Arabidopsis thaliana: one gene and its partners. The protein of the gene in region 4 interacts with the protein of the main gene of each other region in a pairwise test. Each region holds a gene or a part of one and is shown on either strand. Other genes may lie near its edges. The genes, in order: AT5G55100, AT2G46250, AT5G38720 and AT4G02720.

Region 1 (6,217 bases), on a different chromosome or scaffold from region 4:
ACCAAAAAAAAAAACAGAAAAGAAAGAGTTTACGATGGAAAAAGAAAGGTTACATCCAACAAAGCATTAGCCAATGAAATTGTAGAACATAGATAGAAAAGTCTAAAAAGATAGATTCGATCCCAAAAAGAAGTTTTATTGAATAATATTATTGCCTTTTCAATCGAGAAGAGAGGCTAAGTAAGGTTCGACCGATAAGGGTAAACTTCAAGTAAATGCACTATGAGTCAGTCTATGACATTGACAAACAATTTATATCTTCTTTGTAGAGTTTCTTTCTTTATTACGTCAACAAAGTGAAAAAAAAAACTCACTCTTATCTTCACCCTTACTTCCAAGCATCTCAAAAGACGTTTTTTACATAATAGCCAGATTTGTGCTGAACACTTTCGTCGATGAGCGGCACCATTTCAGAAGTTAAAGTACGTCGTACACCTTACGTGGGGATGATAATGATGTATGCAAAAAACGTCTCATAAGTGTGAATCAAGTTTCTTTTAGTAATATTGTAATGCAAATTGGCTACTAAATAAATTTCTATGATAAGGTCTGATGATTAACTGATTAACAAAAGCACAGATTTTTCTTTAAAAGGTTTATAGTTTGCAAATGCACAGATTAAAAAGGTTTCTTTAAAAGGTCTTTTTCAGAGTAATTTCGTAAATAGTTTGCAAAATACATTAAAATTTAATATTACAACTCTTCTTCTCGTAGGCAACATCGGTGACCTTTATGCTTCAGATGCTCACCGACCATCTCCCCTGAAAACCGAACAAACCCGCTAATCGATCAGACCCAATCATTGACATTGTCAACTTAATACTAGTAGACACCTAAATAGAACTAGAAAGTCTTCAAGAGTCGTTCAGTTAGAAGAAACGTACAAGGTATCAGCTAACATGGCACGGATTTTGGCTCTTAGCTCATCCGAAACTTGAGATGGTTCATTTTGCAGATACGGGATGTTATCTCCAGGAGATGCTTTAAGATCAGACTGATCTGACTTTGAAACAGTCTCCTCTTCCACTGTTTTCTCATCTTTCTTTATACGTTTACTAGACTTGTGACGATGACCATGCTCAACGTCTGAAGAGTCCTCGTGCTTGCGTCTACTGGATCTGTGTCGGTGGTGATGATGTTCATCATCAGATGAATCACGGTGCTTTTCATGCTTCCTGGATCTGTGATGATGGCTACGCTTGTCCTTAGAATAATCAACGTCTTTGCTATGCTTACTGGATCTGTGTCGGTGCTCACCCTCATTATCAGAAGAATCATAAAGCTCATGCCTATCTGAAGATTTGCTGTGTCTGTGTCTATGACGCGAACGACTGTGATACTCATCATCTGAGGAGCTCTCATGCTTGTGCTTGTCCCGAGAATGTCTGTCCTTGGAAGAGTATCGTGTCTTATGTTTATGCCGTTTTCTACTACATGAATGCTTCTTATCAGTCTTGGTTTCTTCTGTAACTTCGTCCATGCTGCTCTCTTCCTCTTCTCCTTGTTCCATCTTACCATCTTCATCTCTCTGTGATCTCGAACGGTAATTCCTCTTTGATCGTCTTTCACTGTTACCATCATCCGCTAGTTTTGACTCAGCTACATATGGAATCGAGCTACTGTCTCTTTCTTTGGCAGCCTTAGCACCTAATCCAGAAATCCCAGAGTCCAACGGTTCGACTGATATGCTTCGCGACGGTTCAGCTTGTTGAACTGGCTGCGCATCAGGTTTTAACTTGGCCACAAACATTTTTGCACGTTTCAATCTTTCTGCCTTCAACTTCTGCTCTTTAGACAAGCCTGCTTCAGAAGAATCAGCTTCACTAGCAGCAGTCGAGCCAGAGAGTGATTGACCTGTAGATTTGGCCAAATCAGGGGACTTAGATGAAGGGTAACTCACATCATTTCCAAGGGTCTGAGAAGTCTCATCCATGGGTTTGCCTGTTAGAATCCCCAACTGGGGATTCCTTATGCCTCTTCTAGCCGCTTGAAGAATAGCAGCAGCAGTATTCGCATCCACATTGACCCTCATCTGCGGTTGGACAGGCTTGAATGGTTCATTGTGCAACTCGACCTTTGGTTTGTCACTAACCATTTTTAGTTTCTCTTTCTTGGCAGAATCATCTGGTAAAACACTCCCAAACCCGTGTTTGCTATCTTTTACAGCATTGCCCATCTTCTCTTGCTTCACGTCTTCTTTTCTGATAATAACGCCTTTGTCACCTGATTTTAACTGCATATGAAATCAACCAACGTTTTACATTTTAGTGAAAGTTACAATCACAAGGTTTAAAAAGCACGTGAAAACACACCAAATTTGTAGCAGGAACATTTTAAGAACTTGAAACAGAATTACCTCTTCGGCTTCTTGGAGAACCTTCCGATAATATGCATGGTATAAGCTAGATGGACGTAAGAATGGAAACATCCCGTATTTCACATCCTGTGCAACAAGAGTAGCCTCTAGTTCTTTCCCGTTCTTTTGAATGAAGTCTACTATCTTATCAATCACTCTTTTCATCTCAGTAGTCGGCTCCACAATCTGCAGTTCAAGCTTGGGTTGCGACTTATCAGACGTCACAAGTTTTTCTGTATTGATCTGCTTCTTCTCTACAACATTTACTGCGCTGACAGAGGGATTTCTTTTTATGAAAGATGCATGATCATTCAACGGCAGAGAATGCTTAGAGGCAATCTTTGCAGCTCCTTTCGACCCTTCAGGTCCATTGGAATCAGTTACCTTAACACCATCATCACCTTTGGCGGACTCACTTGTTTTGGAGTCGTTTGCAGACTCTTCGTTAGCATCTTCATCTTCTACAGTCCCATAAACCGAACCAAGCAATGACAAAGCTCCACCATCCTTCTCACTTTCGTTCTTTTTCTCTTCTACAGAAGACTTTCCTGTCAAAAGCTCTTGATGGTCAACAAGAAACCTAAAGTAAAGGTGAAGATGATGGTCTGGCATTAGGAACCCAAATGTAGGGTTGTCTCCTTGTTTGACTCTCAAGACAATTTCAGATTGCCCACCGTGTTTGCTTACAAAACTTGAAGTCCTAGTGATAATCTGATGTAATTTCTCAGTTGGAGGCTGAAAGAAGAGAGAAAAAAAATATACAAGAAAAAATTAGTAATGTGAAATATGATGAATGACACCTTTGGCAACTCGCAGGTATATATACATAATAAAACCTCACATAAGTATCGAGAACCATAAATTGCAAAATTCAGAACTGTATAGAAATGCATCATCTGGTGTGCAATCAGTTTTAAGGTTCTTGGTAAGTCATGAATTTTTATCATCTTAATCCCACCTGCACTGCCCCTTGTCATGGCAGCAAAAGGAAACAAGGTGCATGTGAATGACAACCTTAGACAACTCCATCTCTTCTCCGAGCATCTGAAACTTAGACATAGTAGTCCTTAGAATAACAAATGCACCTTTCAGATGTTTACGTGGCCAATATCAGTTTAAGTACCAAATAAGTTAGCAAAAACTAGCATACTGCTAAAGGGAACAATCTAAAGCAATAACTTACCAGGTTTTGACGTAAGTAATCAGGCACGGGGAAAGGCGGGTGAAATCCAGATTCCATATCAGCAGCATTTTTCTGGTCATTGACATCACTAGAGCTTCCATATGAAAAAGAGACAGCACGATAACCATCCGCATTTGTATTTGCTGAATCCTCATTCATATCTGGAGAGTAAAGCAAATCCAAAGGGCAAACAAATTAAGTTTCGATCTGAATTTTTCGTAATCATTCTCTAGAACAGTTTTATGTCTCTAACATAGCTAGTTCGAGTCTCTCTACCATATAGATTAACGGAGATTTCTACGGAGTTCATCATCCTTACCGTGTTCATCATCATCCGACGGAGATGGAGATTCCGACGGTAAATCTAGATAACGCTCGTGATCGAGCTCCGATTCCAAGTCAGCATCGTTTGAATTCGGACGACGGCGTTTGATACGTGGAGGAGGAGGAGAAGAGAGGAGATGACGAACATCGTAGCGGTCAATAAAGAGGCTGTTCCAGTCAACGAGCGCCGTCGGAGAGTTGACAAACGTTGCCATCGAATCATCGTCGAAAAAGAGAGCGTGACGACCAACAATCTCTAGATCCATTGTGTGATTCTTCTAAAGCAATGGAGAATTGGGATTTGGGGAAGAGGCTAGGGTCTGTGTAATCCGTAATTTGGAACCGGATGTTCCAAATTCGTGATTGACCCAAAGATGTGATGACTTACAAAAGAGATCAAGTCGACTAAATGACGTCGTTTATAAGACTTTTTTACTTGCCGTTTGAAAAGTAATAAAACCACACGCATTTGGGAGAAAATAACTAACAACGACGTGCATTCTTTATGTTTTTGCGTTTTCAACCCTGCTTAAGAAAGTTTATATTTTTTCCCCATAACCTTAACTTTAATAAATGTAAGCCACCCTAAGAGTGAAAAAGCAGTGAAATCTCCAAATTTAAAGTGCTTCAACATTTGTGATTTCATTGGAGAATTTTGCTCAATCTAGTATCTGCCTCGTCTTGATGTGACGGTTATCCACATTGAGTTTTTACTTTGATGAAAATATTATGAGCTCTCTTTCTTTCTTTTTTAGGTAACTTATGAACCCTCTTTCTTTGTCAGGGCTTTCAAGCTATCTCCTCATGATACAATGGTTAAGTGATTTAATATTCTCTCTATATAATTTTTGTAATTTTATGCATCTATCTAACCATGTTTGAACAACCTGTATGGCACATTGTTTTCAAAAGTTTCGAAAGCAATTACTCTGTAGAAATAATACTAATTAAACTAACGTTATCTAATTAAACTAACGTTAATGTAAAACGACTTTGCGTGTGGCTTAATAGTTAATGCAACAGAAAGATATCGTAGAGAAACAATAAGATTATCGTATAGGTCGGAAAATGACCAATAAGCAACAAGGGAATGGTTTTGACTTTTTTGACGTAAAGTTTATACATTGTTTAACAAATTGGAGGAAAGCGTTGACCTCTCTCTATTGCTTTCTTCAACACCGTATATAATATTTGTGCCTTGTGGACGTCTTTGACTGGTTTATTCAAGAATTTTCTTCGATAGTTCGATCGTTGGTGTATAGAGCTATATTAGTGTAAGCTACTATAGGGACATTCAAATTTTATATAACTGTTTCAAAAACTAAATATAGATTGTACACATTTATGCAAAAACATACATTTAACAAAGCAAGTTGTATTAGTTTAATTAATGGTCATCATCGTACTAATGGACATCATAATTCGGATTCCATTACACATATTTATATCAGGAATCACGGGTTTGTTTGTAACTTAAAATAAAGTGGAAAGATCTATATACCTTGTATTTTCATTTGTAATGTGAGATATTCATTGTCTCGGACATATCACTACAAAACGGACTATATACATTGGCGGACGCAAGTGTATAAGTACTGGGGCACGTGCCCCATGCAAGATTTGATAATTTTGAAGTTTGTTGTGCAATTTGTATTGTAGATGAAAGAATTCGTTTGTTGTGCCCCATGTTAGAGTGACTTTTTTTCTAGTCAGTTGGTTATTACTCATTAATTTTACTATTTTCAAGTAATAAATGTTTTCAGTATTTAACTTATTTTTACTTTATTTATCTTTTTCTATAACTGTTTGAAGGAATTATGCTAATATAAGGTACTGCCAATGTTGATTGACACTTCAAAAAATTTTCTTCCATTTACATGTCTTTTAAGAAATGTTCATATTGTACTTTATTTTAAAAATTTATAAATATGTTGTGCCTCGGGTTAATTATGGTTCTAGATCCGCCACTGACTATATATGTATACTATGAGAAATCATATGTCGGGTAATTATACTTGGAACTATGGTACCATATTAGAAGATTAGAGATAGAATGAAAAAAAGAGTTGAATTACTCCATGGAAAAGACTAAAGAGAACGGAGTTGTACATCATTTATGTAAGAGATTGTCTGATATGAACAGAAGACTAGTGACGATGGAAGGAACTTAGCCTTACAAAGCTTGCTCATGTGTTTCTAAAGTAAAAACTTTTATTTATTGACTTATATAGATTATTTTCATATTATTCTATTGTTACAAGTTACAATGTAAAAATGGCCTTTCATATATTAAATTATATAATCGTGGTTGATTGGGCGTATGCGGATCGAGAACTTTAGAATTCAAGTTAAAG
Region 2 (4,810 bases), on a different chromosome or scaffold from region 4:
TTTAATTTAATTAATCTTAATTTTTAGATAACTTAAGTATTAAATAGAATTGTTTGTCATATTTGTTTAAAATTTTATGTCATGTATGTTTTAAATTTTATGAGTTGTAATAACTATTAAGTTTTTTAAAATTATAATGTTTCTATTTTTTTTTTCAAATTTTCTTTTTAAGAACTCCAAGTTAAGATTCCACCATTGCATATTGCCTAAATTTCAATCTCTTAACCAAGTTTTTAACTTCAGAATTTTCAAAATCAATTATAAAAATATTCATAAAAACTATATTAAAATTATGCTAAGAAACTACCATTAATGATGCTCTAAAACAGATAGAGTTTGGTCAATCGCTATTACCGACACATCTTTGACTTGGCTTTTTTTTTTTTTTTAACGTTTATTAATCACCAATCAGTCTTCTTAAAACTTGTGGAATTTTTGATGACCAAAGATTTGAACTAATCGGTTAAATTGTCTCTTCTTTAAGTTACATCTTTTTGTTCTTAATTACAACTGCCAAAAATAGTTGACCGGAGTTGTGTTCTTTTTTTTTGTCGAACCGGAGTTGTGTTCAATGTCAATATATGTGAACTGTTGACAAAATTAGCTTTTTCCTTTTTTCATGTGAAATTGGTTTCTGTCACTGGGACAATTAAAATATTTAGTTTTTTTAACGACTAACGAGCATTAATATTAACCACAACCAAATAATTAATCCAACATACATGAGAAGACACGAGTTAATTATTTGCTCGAACCGGAATTATCACTCTGGTTTCAAAGAAGAACGTAAACGTCGACTTTCTACACGAGCTTCCATCAGCTTATCCTTGAGAGTACGATGATTATCTTCCCTGATCATCACATTCACATTTCTCGGATGATTCTTCGAGAAAGTTCTAGACTTTTCTTGACTCTCATGATCATCAACGTTCCTTGGACTACTCTCTGGATGAATCTTATCTCCTTCCGAAGACATAGATAGATTAAGAACTTGGCCTGAGCTCTTCTTAAGCTGCAGTTTGTTATCTCTTCTTGTTCGCTTTTCAAGCCCTTCTTCGAGTTCCTTCAGGCAAACCCTTTGATGCATAGATACCGAATCATCTGGTTTTGCTCTCAAGCCACTTCCTTTACTTGACTGTGATCTACTCTTCTCCTTAGCTCGCAGAAGAAATGTTTTATCATCTTCCTCTAGCTTCATTTGTAATCTCTGGTCACTCCACACTTCTGCAATCTGCACAATTACTTTATCACTCACCGGTGACTTTTTGCCAATTCTTCTCACCTTATCTTCATAATCTTTCACCGCTTTTGCAAACTCATCGCAGAGATTTTCCACAACAACACGTTCCTGTGTCTCCTTTTCAAGGTCTTTCAAAGCTTTGGACAAACAATGCTTCGCTTCACAAAGCTCTCGTGTTAGCTTCCGGTGCAAAGTCTCTGACTCCTTTCTAACTTTTCTCTCATCATCTAACTCCCTCTTTATGGATCGAAACACATCTTTTACCTCTTCTTCTTCTTTTTTCTTCCTCAGTGGCCTATCGCTTAGCTTCTTCCGTTGCTGAACCTCCTTAATCTCGGCTCTACATTCATCCAACTCCATCTTTAAAGCTCTAACCAAAGACATATTAGCAGTATTCTGTTCTTCGAGACTCCATATCCGGTTTAGCACCTTGAGAAGCTTTGTAGAGGAACCCAAACCATAGCTTGCAGACTTAACCGCCGAAGAACCTGTCTGACTAAACGCTGGCTTACGCACCACAACCTACAAGCACATTAAGCCAACACACACCAAATCCAGCTCAAAACAAGATTGTTAAAAAGCATTCCTTGGTTAAATTTAAGAGTGAACAAAGAGCAAAAAACTTTGTTTTCTTCACCTGCAATGAACTGCTGCTGCTGCTGCAACTTGCAGGAGAGATAGGTTGCAACAGATCACCATTTCTATAATCATCAGTTGCTGCAATTTGCCTCCTCAAGCTAGCTCTGCTTGGTGGCTGCAAATTAAAACTCATATATAAATACTAAACACACTTACGAGCCAACTTTACGACCATGAGATTTGTCCAATGAAATTTGTGCATAGACGAGCAAAAGACCACATCATAAAGAACAATACTTTGAGATTTTCTCGGTGGAATTTGCGCAAAAATGAGATTTTTTCCGGTCGAATATACTCTAACCTCACCGTAAAGATCACAACTTTACGACCTATCAAAACAAGAAGACTAAAACCCTACATAAACCCGTCAAAAACATTCAAGCAAATCAAAAGCGCCAAAATTGTTTACATGATCGTGAAGCGGGCTACGGGAATGCGATTCCACATCTGAATCCCTTCGTCGACACCGTCGCAGCTCAATTCTTTGCCGGAATTGTTCAGTTTCCCACAAATCAGCACACAATTTCCGGACAGAGTCCTCCGAATTCGCCAAAAACTCCTTGGTCGCTCCGACTCGTGGCGGCGAAAACTCGAGCCGCCAGGTGGGTGGAGGAGTGGAAGGACCAGCTCTCCTAGTATAGCCCATGAAACTTCGTCTCAGCTTTTTCTCCATTTCTCCTTCTTCACACTCTCTCTCCATCTCTTTACTCGCTCTGTTTTCACCTCTGTTTCCACCTCTGTTTCCCTTAAGCTGTGGAAGGTTGTCTTCTTGGAGACAGTTGTGTCTCGACTCTCTCTGTTTCTTTCGTCTTTTCCTTAAAAATTCACAGATCACTTATTAATGGCTTATCCTTAAAATTTGTCCATCTTGCTTTATCATTTATTTATACAAAAACCCGAAAAACGTGATTTGTTGTTAAGTATGATTGTAATTCTTACTACTACAATTCTTTGCTTTTTAAAACAATAGTAGTATAATGTTACAACATCAAAAGCCTGTTACTCTCTCCCGACAAAGATTACGAGTTTACTCTGACTTTTTCTTCTTCCCAACAAAGCCATAGATTTTTATTTACTGCAAGGGGAAATATATCTCTCAGAGACAGAGGATGCGTGTGAGTGAACCTTTTTCACCTTTTACTATTTTCTTTTCTCCATGGAAATCAACCTATTTCTCCTATGTACATTTTGCGAACTTGTTAAAATAGTTACAGTAGAGGTGCAACCTTTTACTGTATATTTGGATCACAATAGTTACAGTAGTTAACATACTGCTACAATTGTAGAAATGACACTAATGAATAGAAATGAGAGTGTATATCATTTGTTTGGTTTAGATGAAATGTATTTCTAAGATAAGAAATTAACTTTTGATGGATGCACACAAGTGGGTGAAGATAATCCCTTGAATTAGTTAATTATGCTAGTAAATTTGGGGATTGAGAGTAGGCTAATAGAGTCATTATGAGGTTAAATGGGTGTTAATAAACGATTAAAATATAAATCATTCGTATCAGAAAATAACCATGCTTGAAGATTCCTGGTCCTTTCATGCTATAGTCTACAACTCCAAGGCTTTATTATGACTAATACTGACACCATTTCCTTTTTTTCAACCATAGATTAGGTGAGAATGAGATCATATCATTACTTGTTATTTCTCTTGCACATGTTAATCTTTGAGAATTTTAGTTGTTTGTAATGAGAAAGCACATAAGAGAGAGGTTACGGAGATGAGTGTAAATGGCGTTGGGACGTGAACGGGACCACAAGAGATGAATATTTGGCGGCTCAGAGACAACCTAACGTGACGATGAGAAAGAAGAAAACGAAGAGTGAGTTATGGCATGAAAAGGATCACTATGTCCGCACAAACCACACAATCATTCTCTTTCTTTCTCCCATAACAAATTTGAAAGATACAAATTTTAAATGTAATTAAAGTAATAATACATGAAATTTACACCTATAGCAAAAATTTGAAATAAATAATAAAAACATTTGAAATAACTAATGGGTTGATCATTGTATGGGCCTTATATAGTTATATATTGGGCCTTGACACAAAATTTAGTCGAATCTGTCAGAGCGAATGGGTCGTTTAAGGAGGTTATCCATGAACGTCGAAGAAAACAGAGAGGCAAATATTTGGATTTTCGTTAAGACAATTTTTGAGTTCTCGTTCTCTTTTCTGTACTCAATAGGATGGAGATGGATACAATATATGAGGAATTGAGACATATCAATGTTTATGGGGGTCATAATACGGCATCGGTTGGACTTACGGACATTGGTTTGCTTGCACGACGTCTGATCTGTGTCTTTTTCTTATGTGACAGTTTCTTCTCAAGGCTTTTGACCCGACTGGTTAATTTCGATATGACTTCTAGTTGTTCTCTGCCTGCCTTAACCAACGTCTCCATCGTTTCCTTGAATCGCTGGTTCTCCTCCATCAGCTTTTTGGTTTCTTTTGATATCCCAGGTTCAGTGATTTCCGGTTCCGGAGCCTGTTCGTTCAAAATAACTTCTGTCTCTAGAGGCTGTTCTTTCACAATGACTTCGGTCTCTGGAGACTGTTCTTTTTCATCTTGTGGCTCAGAAGTCTGTTGGCCAATGCCTTTGGAGTTGTTGGGTGAGTGATCAACTTCTGTTTCCTCCTGGCTCGCTGTTTTAGGGTCCATTGCAGTCATATTCCCTTCACGAGTATATGATGACGATGGATCTTGCGAAAGAGGCTGTGTTTCCTCGTCAATCACTCCAACAGGTAGCTCTGAGAGCTCGACATTTTTTTCTGAATGCAATACAATATCATCTTCTCCTTTTCGGTTTTCATTTTCTGATGAGTTGGTTTCGGCTTCAGAGACTTCACTAGCATTCTCCGGGTCCCGTATGGAGTTTGTTTCAGTCTCTTCCACCATTTGCGGCAATTCG
Region 3 (4,722 bases), on a different chromosome or scaffold from region 4:
AACAATCTTTGAAAGCTATAACAAAAAAAAAAAAAACTGAAATCGGAGATGGAGATGGTAAATTGATACCTTCAGTAAAGAAAAGATTAACTGATTTCTAAGAGCAATCGATTACTGTTGATGGGAAGACTATTTTTTTATAGATATAAATAGTCATCGGAAGTTTGGAGGAGAAGAAGTGGAAGAGGTGGAGATCGTGGAGATCGTGGAGATGAAGAAGAAAAGGGTTTTGAGAAATAAAAAAAAAAGTTTTATAAAAAGTACACAAGATATTTTTTCCAATTTTATTAATTAAAAAATGAATTAGCAAAATCTTTCGTGAAAATGAAAGAGTAAAAAATTGGTACTAAGCTGATGTGTCAATCAGAGAATGCATCAGTTTTTGCTAAAATGACTGTTGATTTAGTATTATTAGATTTGTGTCATTCTAGTTAACTACAAAATTAGGGTGTTAATCTAGTTATTAATTTGTATATTTGTGTCGATCTTGGTAATTTTCAGAACCTTTAAATTGGCATTTCTCTACAAAAATATTAAATTAGAGTGCCTCCTTTGTTATCTTATATACTATATCATTCAATATATTTGAATGGATTTTGATTCAATCTAATGTTCCAAGGGAAAAAAAATTATATTTCTTTTTGTTTATCAGCCTGAAATGGTCAATTACAAAATTTGATCATAAAACACATTCATGATATTGCTCATGAGCTTAATCAGAGTCTGAACCCACAAAGCTCATGTTTTTTCAAGCAGAATGTGTTCTTCCTTAGAAAGGCTTAAACCTACGAGCAGCTCGAAGTTGTTGTATCCTCTTCTTGTCTTCCTCGAACTTACTCTGAAGCGCCAAGAGTTCTGTCCACAAACAATAAAACACAAAACCAAGAATCAATTCATCAGAATCAGGGCAGACAAATTGAAGGGCCACTTGTGTGACTAGGGCTGCATATAAAAACCGACCCGAGCCAAAACTGACACAAAACACGTTTGAGGATATAGAAAAGCCAGGGCTTACCATTGCGTTGTGCATCTCGCCTTTGGAAACGGTAGAAACCATGAGCGACAGGCTCACTCTGTTTCTTTTTAGCGATCTTATCCTCCAAAGCAGCCTGAGAAAAAGATCCAACGGCTGTTCCGGTTTCAGATTCTGTTGTCTTTTTCCTTCCTTTGTGATGCACGACCACAGTCCATCCACCTTCTGCAGCTTTAGCTTCTTTGTCTTGTTTCTCCTGTTCAACACACATGACAACATTAGACAAAAACACGATAGTCACTTAGACAATAGACATGAACACTTCAAAATATAGGATGACGAGAAGAACCTGTTCAAGGCGTTCTTCATGAGCAGTCATGAAGTCATCGATTCTCTTTTGGAGCTCGTCTAAACCAGGTCTACCCTCATAGTAATCACTAACCCACTCTGCAGTTTAAAAGAGGACTTATCAAATTAAGGAAGAAACAGTTTCAAGAGTGTTCATGCTTATCTAATCATATGCAGCTAGCTAATAATGGAAGAAACAGTAATCATTTTTGTTTCATCCATACTTTTCATTCCCCTTGTGCAATCCTCATCGCCTGAAGAAATTTGATAAACATCTTCCTCCTCTTCAATTTTGTTCTCTTTCTTAGAGGTCATGTCCATCTTTTTCTTCTTATTTGATTTCTTAAACTTGCCTACAAGAAAAAATTTACTTTATTGAACAAGATGATGGAGTTCTGAAGTCCTTAGACTCGCCTACAAAAAACAATCTACTTCATTAAACCAGCTCTGAACTACCGGTTTCTTATTTCAGTTCCATTACAGCCATGTCAAACATAAATAACATTCATAAGAACCACAGATTCAGAGTTAGATAGACAGTAAAGTTCACATTCTGCTCAAAGAAAATATTATATAAAGACTTAAAACTAGCTAAAGTTCCTCATGCAAATGATTCAGAGAACTAACATAAGACAACCAAAACATGGTAATGAACTACTCACTTTCTCTTTTCAGATCTTCGACTGAAGATCTAGTTATTTCCTCGGCCTTCCTTTTCTTCTTAGTCTTGTTCATTTTGCCCTTCTTTTCTTTTACTTTCTCAGTTGAAATAGCTGTAACAAGAACCAGAGATACTAAACTCAATACCAGAATCTAACAGCTCAGTAATAGATTTCATCTGCCAAAAACAAAAGAATTCACCTTCCAGAATCGGTTCGCTTATATCAACATTGCCTACTTTCTCTTTTCTCTTCTTCATCTTCCCACTCAGCTTACCATCAGCTGGAGAGCTTTTTATTTCCTTACCCTTCTGAATCTTCTTTCTATTGGGTTTCTCACTTGATTTAGCTGGTAAGGAATAATAAACAAGATACTATACTCAACATCATAACACATCTTAAAACACTATAAAACACTTCTAAATCCATCAAAGCCAAAACTTTCACCTTGAAGCTGTGCAGCCTGAGGATCCTCGCTTAATTCGACATTGCTCACTTTCTCATTCTTCTTCCTCTGAATTTTTTTCCCAACAGTTTCTTCTGCATTGATTTTATCCGTCACTTCAATTAGACAAACAATAATTTGCATAAGCAATTTACTTCTTCTGCTTCACAAGATTAACCTTTGTAATTAAGTTCAAGGCCATTCCAATTAAAGCTCTCAACTTTCGAAATCAAATAAGTTACCTCTAAGAACACAATCTTAGTATACACAACAACCATAGTTAGGTCTTTTCGGTTCTGTAATGAAACCTCATAAATCAATTAAGTAAGAATATAAACGCGAGAAAATTAGGCCTACCTTTAGGGAGATTACTCTTCTTCAGCTTTCTCGTCTCCTTCATCTTCTTTCTATCGCGTGAGAAGCAAAAACTCTGTCGGCGATTGTCGGCGTCGACGCTCTCGGAAAAATTAGGGATTAGTCAGGCCACGACCATGTAAATTAGGGTTTTTGCTTTTTGTGAGGTTTTGGACTGAAACAGATACAAGGGTAAAGTTGTTAATATCAGCAACACGAGAGGACATATACGTATTCTTGACTAAACCGGTCTAAAATTGGGTTCAGTTCGATTTATTACGTATTTTCTCTCGGGCCGTTTCCCGGATATTCCAAAACAATCGATTCGCTTCCGGTTTTGAATTCAGTCCTTTATCGGTTAATTGGTAAATAATCTGGTCTGGTTCATCTACTGGAGAAATTCAAACCGGTTTAGGCCTTCTCTTTATCGCCGTTGCTCTTCTCTGTTACTCCTACAACACTTGAGGAACAACAATGGTGAATTTGTTGTCAGCAAATCGAGAAGCTTTGATTGCACAAAGCATCTGTGCAACAGTATTGAAAGGAAACTGGAAAAATATTCTGAAACACAAAGTTGATTCTGGGTTATTGAAATCAGCGATAACCACTCAGGTAATCTCTGAGCTTTCTCTGTTTTCTGGTTATGGTGGACCTTCTCTTTCATGGAGTTTCTTTATCTGGACCGATTCTTTACCAAGTAGCAAACATAGTTTACAATCATCATGGAAAATGATTTTGATTCTCACAAAACACAAGCATTTCAAAACTGCACACCAACTGCTCGATAAATTGGCTCAGAGAGAGCTTTTGTCATCTCCTCTGGTTTTGAGATCTTTAGTTGGTGGTGTTTCTGAAGACCCAGAAGATGTATCTCACGTCTTTAGCTGGTTGATGATATATTACGCTAAAGCCGGGATGATCAACGATTCGATTGTGGTGTTTGAGCAGATTAGGAGTTGTGGATTGAAGCCTCATTTGCAAGCTTGTACTGTGTTACTAAATAGTCTGGTGAAGCAGAGATTGACTGATACTGTTTGGAAGATATTCAAGAAGATGGTTAAGTTAGGTGTTGTTGCTAACATTCATGTGTATAATGTATTGGTTCATGCTTGTTCTAAGTCTGGTGATCCCGAGAAAGCTGAGAAATTGTTGAGTGAGATGGAAGAAAAAGGTGTGTTTCCTGATATCTTTACCTATAACACGTTGATCTCTGTGTACTGCAAAAAGAGTATGCATTTCGAGGCTTTATCTGTGCAAGATAGGATGGAGAGAAGTGGTGTTGCTCCTAATATTGTCACTTATAATTCATTCATACATGGGTTTAGTAGAGAAGGTAGAATGAGAGAGGCCACAAGACTGTTTCGGGAGATTAAAGACGATGTTACAGCGAATCATGTTACTTATACTACTTTGATTGATGGATATTGTAGAATGAATGATATTGATGAAGCTTTGAGGTTACGTGAGGTAATGGAGTCAAGAGGGTTTTCTCCTGGAGTTGTGACATATAATTCGATTTTGCGTAAGTTATGTGAAGATGGAAGAATAAGAGAAGCTAACCGGCTTTTGACTGAGATGAGTGGAAAAAAGATTGAACCTGATAATATCACCTGCAATACTTTGATCAACGCATATTGCAAAATCGAAGACATGGTATCTGCAGTGAAGGTCAAGAAGAAGATGATTGAATCAGGGCTAAAACTGGATATGTATTCATACAAAGCATTGATTCATGGGTTTTGTAAAGTGTTGGAACTGGAAAATGCAAAGGAGGAACTGTTCTCTATGATAGAGAAAGGCTTCTCTCCTGGATATGCGACCTATTCTTGGCTCGTGGATGGATTCTATAACCAGAACAAGCAAGACGAAATCACAAAACTCCTAGAGGAGTTTGAAAAAAGAGGTCTTTGTGCTGATGTTGCTCTATACAGAGGATTAATAAG
Region 4 (4,357 bases):
GAGAAGAGGACCTTTACATGACATTTCTTTGATAATTTTTTTGTTTTTAAATACTATTTTTAAGCTTTGAATAGTAATACGAAAATGCTAATCTCCTCTAAATTGAACAGATGTCGTTTTCTTTGTCATTCAATTCTTAACCAAAATCATTTTGCTTCTTTGAATGATTTATATGTTATTATTTATGAAACGAATAATAGATTATGGACTAGGTACTTGGTAGGGTCTTCTATTGAGATAGTGCATTTATTGAGAACAGATTCAGACATTGTATAGTTCCACAAAAGTGGAATCATAAACTATAATTGGAACCCTTGCAGGTAATTTACCAATAATATGATCTGCCTGCAAATTCGGATATTATTGCAAATTTTATCTGCCTCCAAATTCCGAAATTATTGCACTTCACAATTATAGAGATCCCCAATAATATATATAAGTACTTGTTTTGTTTCACAGTTCTAAAAATAGAATGATGATAATAATGGTGACAATGATAACATTGATGATGATATGACTGGATTCTTAACAGACAAACGCAATGATATGAATACAGAGGGAGGAATGCATAATCTGTGAAGCTCATTAAAGGACATTATTCGAAAATACAGTGGTGGGCTCAAAGCGGATATCCTAAATAATTGATTGTTCTACAATCTCAGAACTAAGTGAATGCCCTGCAAAATTCAATCATCGAACATGACCTAAGGTAAATGCACAAGAACGGTTGCAGATCCTCAGTGTCAGAATCTATTATCTTTGACACACAAACACAATCATGTGATACATAGCAGATTAACGCATAAACTATGAAGCTCATTAACGGATACATAGCAGATTAAAGCATAAACTACGAAGCTCATTAACGGGCAAGTAGCAAACAGCAGTATCTATGATGCAAATAAGGAACATTCAACAAGATAAAGCATAAGATGAGTACCCACATAACAGAAGCAGGAAGCCAAGCAAAATCAATCATCATCTTCTTCAGTCTTTCCAGCACCGAAAGGGTCATGATTTGGCCCCACCTCTTCTCCCATATGGCGCTGCACAAGCCGCTGCAGATCAGACATAACCTTAGCCTCGCGCTTCGCCTTCTCCTCGTAGTTAAACATGGCCAATGCCCGTTTGTCTTCAGCACTGTAAACCTGGTTTTCTTTTCTAATACGAATAGCATTCATCCTTTGATGCCTACTTCCACTCATCACATAACCAAGATCCTCAAACTTCTGAATCTCTTCAGCGTTAAGACCCACTTCTCCTCTACGTGGGATACGTTTACCTTGCTGAACATACTGTGCAATGGCGTCTCCTTCACCGGGTCTTAAAGCACCACCATAACTGATGTGACCTTCAGCTTTAGGTAATGGCATTGGACCAACATCACCTTCTTCTTCCTCTTCATCAACAGCTGAAGATTTCTTCTTTAATTCAATCATCTCTTTGAACTTCTTCAACTCTTCTTCATCAAGTTCTAGCTCAGTGTTCTTCACCGTTTCGTCTACTTGCATCTTCGAATCTTCCTCAGTACCATCGCTGTCACTCCCTGACTTCGTCTTCTCTCCCTTGCTTCGTTTTGAACTAGAATCCGAAGATTTCTTCCGCCTCTTGCTCTTTGACTTGGTATCTTCTTCCTCCCCAGACGAAGAAGCACTAATCTCAGCTTTACTATCTTCATCGCTGCTCTCATCAGAGTCACTGTATTTCGTCTTTCTCCTATGACTTCGCTTTTTCCTAAAACTACGGCTGCTTCTACTCTTCTTCCTCTTAGAAGAACTCTTCCTCCTTCGTCTCCTATCTTCCTCTTCCGAATCACTCTCACTCCCTTCGGATTCACTATCGCTGTCATAAGATCTCTTTCTCCTGCGCTTAGACCTCGAGCTCTTACTCTTCCTCTTCCTAGATCTCAAACCATCAGATTCAGATTCCGAGTCAGATTTACCTTTCCTTTCTTTCCCTTTCGAATTATCATCTCTTTCGCCGCCGTTCTTGTCCTGAATCTCGTCGGCGTTCTCATCGGAATCCTCGTTCTGATCTCTAGGTGGACTCGGTGTGTTCTCCCAAAAGCAGAACTTGGCTGATTTCCTCATCTTAAGCCGTTTCTGCCTCCTATACTCTTCGTGACTCAATCCCTTCAATTCTTCATCGGAATCTGAACCAGATCGTCTTCCGTTTCGATAATCTCGATCCAAATAGCCATGATTCTTCCCAAATCTCCTCGGAAGCGAGTTCATCGTCATTCTCGAATCCCTAATTCACTCCGACGACGACAATGAAGAAAACAAAATCTAAGCAGCTGTCTGATAAATTAGGGCTTTGATTCATATACAGTATCTGCGCCTTTTTACTTATTGGGCCCTTAACGAATAGGCCCAATATTTATCATTATTCACCACTGAAAATCATGTTTTGATTTTACACAAAGCACCCCACATTTTAATTAGAGTCAATCGAGTCCTCTATCCTTATCGTCGTCTTCAGATGGCAAGTCTCTCCATGTCCGCCGTGTCTCTGTCGCCGTTTCGGCCTCAAACAGAGAATCTTCTTTCAAAACTCAGTTTCCGAACGAACTTACACTCGTTCAATCTCAAACCAATAAGGATTAGTACGAAAGTTAGAAGTTTTGGTGGGAATCGGAGAGAGCCGAAGGATTCAAGATTTGTCGATGAAAAAGGCGTAGTTGATGACATGGAAGGTTTCTTAGACAATCTCTCTCTCGAATACGACTCTGTTTGGGACACTAAACCCTCTTGGTAAATCTCATTTAAGTTCCCAACAATTTTATTTCAAGTAGTTTGGATTTGGTCCTAAGACTTATGAGGAATCGTATTTGTTGGTTGTGAATATGGGATTATAGCTTAGATAGAGTCTTAAGTTCACTTTTAAGTGGACCAATCCTTAATCTTTATTAGCATTTTCAGTGATTTATGCCTGCCCAAGAACTTTTTTGAATCATATATGAAGCTATATATTTATTGATGCTACTTAAAACAAGACTTACCCCATTACAGTTTCATGATTGTGTGTTGTGGTTTAGAAGATAGAAAGAAAAAGTTTGAATCTTTTGGTTAGGAAGATAGTGAAGAACCAAAATACAGATTATGTAATGGTAATTGGGTTAAGAAGGGTTTAACATTTCGACCTCAGCATCTACAGCTTTGAATATCTATTGATCTGGTGTGTATTTGCAATCAAGAACTTTACGGTTCTTCTTAGACGTTTTCAGGGCCTAGTGTTCTTCCGTATGGTTTTGAATAAGCAACTGGCTATGTTTCTCAGGTGTCAGCCATGGACGATAATGTTAACGGGTCTATCAATAGTGGCATGTAGCTGGGTAATACTACACTCGGTCATAGTTTCATCGCTTGCGGTTGGTGTAATTGGTGCTTGGTGGTACATATTCCTTTATAGCTACCCAAAGGTATGATTTTCCCTTCCATCATCTAACAACCTCTCCTTTTCATTCCCTTACTAAAGAAATGTTCGTAGCTCTAATTTACTAAGTCTAAGTTAAAGTAAAAATCCTGTTTAAACATCTTCAGACAATGCTAGTTTCTATAATCTTAGTGAACAAGACTTTACTTTGGTCTTGTCTTTGAGATTCTGGTGGTTTTTTCGTGTACTTTGGTTCAGTCGTATTCAGAAATGATTGCTGAAAGAAGGAAACGAGTAGCTGATGGTTTTGAAGATATTTACGGCAAAAACAAGCCTTCATAGGATCTTCTCAATGTTCAAAATTACATTCGTTTCTTGCATAAATCTTCCCTTCTGTTGTGTGTATAATATAACCATCATCTATGGATTTATCTCAATTTCATTCACAGATGTTTGGATACATAAATCTTGATTTCAGAGTCCTCTAATGTAGTGGGCATTAAAATCGAATTGAACCGATTATACAAACCGAAATTAACCCAAATATACCGAAACCTCATTACTGAAACCAACCGAATAAAGTGCCTTCGAACTAAATAAACCAAACGAACCGGACCAATTTTAGTTCAACAAAATCGACAAATTCAAATCGAACCGAACCGAGCCGAAGAACCACCAATACGAGAAATGAGGAATGAAGGGTAAAAATGTAATTCCCAAGAGGTCATGGTCAACGGAATGTATATATATGTAACGGTGAGAGATTCATTGAGATCATCTCCACTCTGCTAAATCCGACGAGAGACGACGATGCCAAGCGGTGGTAACGGAACAAGTAACGGAGTCGCTAACGCGAATTCCACCGGTAACGCAGGAACAAGCGGAAACGTTCCGATATATAAGCCATACCGTCACCTGAAAACCCTAGAAGGTCACACGGCGGCGATCTCTTGCGTCAAATTCTCCAACGACGGCAATCTTC

What was found.
Region 1: the proteins of AT4G02720 (region 4) and AT5G55100 interact in a two-hybrid assay, tested with the Arabidopsis thaliana proteins (one study listed by BioGRID).
Region 2: the proteins of AT4G02720 (region 4) and AT2G46250 interact in a two-hybrid assay, tested with the Arabidopsis thaliana proteins (one study listed by BioGRID).
Region 3: the proteins of AT4G02720 (region 4) and AT5G38720 interact in a two-hybrid assay, tested with the Arabidopsis thaliana proteins (one study listed by BioGRID).

The regions. Positions count from the first base shown.
Region 1 is NC_003076.8:22,360,536-22,366,752, forward strand, and holds AT5G55100 (SWAP (Suppressor-of-White-APricot)/surp domain-containing protein), read right to left. Parts: upstream 4,290-6,217; 5' UTR 4,130-4,289; coding exon 3,859-4,129; intron 3,701-3,858; coding exon 3,540-3,700; exon of another isoform or gene 3,092-3,539; coding exon 2,357-3,091; intron 2,234-2,356; coding exon 866-2,233; 3' UTR 762-865; coding exon of another isoform or gene 746-761; 3' UTR 581-745; downstream 1-580.
Region 2 is NC_003071.7:18,989,155-18,993,964, reverse strand, and holds AT2G46250 (myosin heavy chain-like protein), read right to left. Parts: upstream 2,795-4,810; 5' UTR 2,580-2,794; coding exon 2,289-2,579; intron 2,209-2,288; exon of another isoform or gene 2,013-2,208; coding exon of another isoform or gene 1,995-2,012; coding exon 1,878-1,994; intron 1,763-1,877; coding exon 764-1,762; 3' UTR 594-763; downstream 1-593. Other genes in the region: BAG6 (BCL-2-associated athanogene 6), read right to left, coding at 4,138-4,810.
Region 3 is NC_003076.8:15,507,648-15,512,369, forward strand, and holds AT5G38720 (ribosomal RNA-processing 7 protein), read right to left. Parts: upstream 2,778-4,722; 5' UTR 2,704-2,777; coding exon 2,604-2,703; intron 2,542-2,603; coding exon of another isoform or gene 2,521-2,541; coding exon 2,428-2,520; intron 2,330-2,427; coding exon 2,183-2,329; intron 2,095-2,182; coding exon 1,984-2,094; intron 1,675-1,983; coding exon 1,546-1,674; intron 1,421-1,545; coding exon 1,323-1,420; intron 1,230-1,322; coding exon 1,016-1,229; intron 856-1,015; coding exon 770-855; 3' UTR 549-769; downstream 1-548. Other genes in the region: AT5G38730 (Tetratricopeptide repeat (TPR)-like superfamily protein), read left to right, coding at 3,254-4,722.
Region 4 is NC_003075.7:1,203,574-1,207,930, forward strand, and holds AT4G02720 (Ras-induced vulval development antagonist protein), read right to left. Parts: upstream 2,320-4,357; 5' UTR 2,241-2,319; coding exon 972-2,240; 3' UTR 516-971; downstream 1-515. Other genes in the region: AT4G02725 (spindle pole body-associated protein), read left to right, coding at 2,482-2,753, 3,280-3,421, 3,634-3,717; WDR5b (Transducin/WD40 repeat-like superfamily protein), read left to right, coding at 4,186-4,357.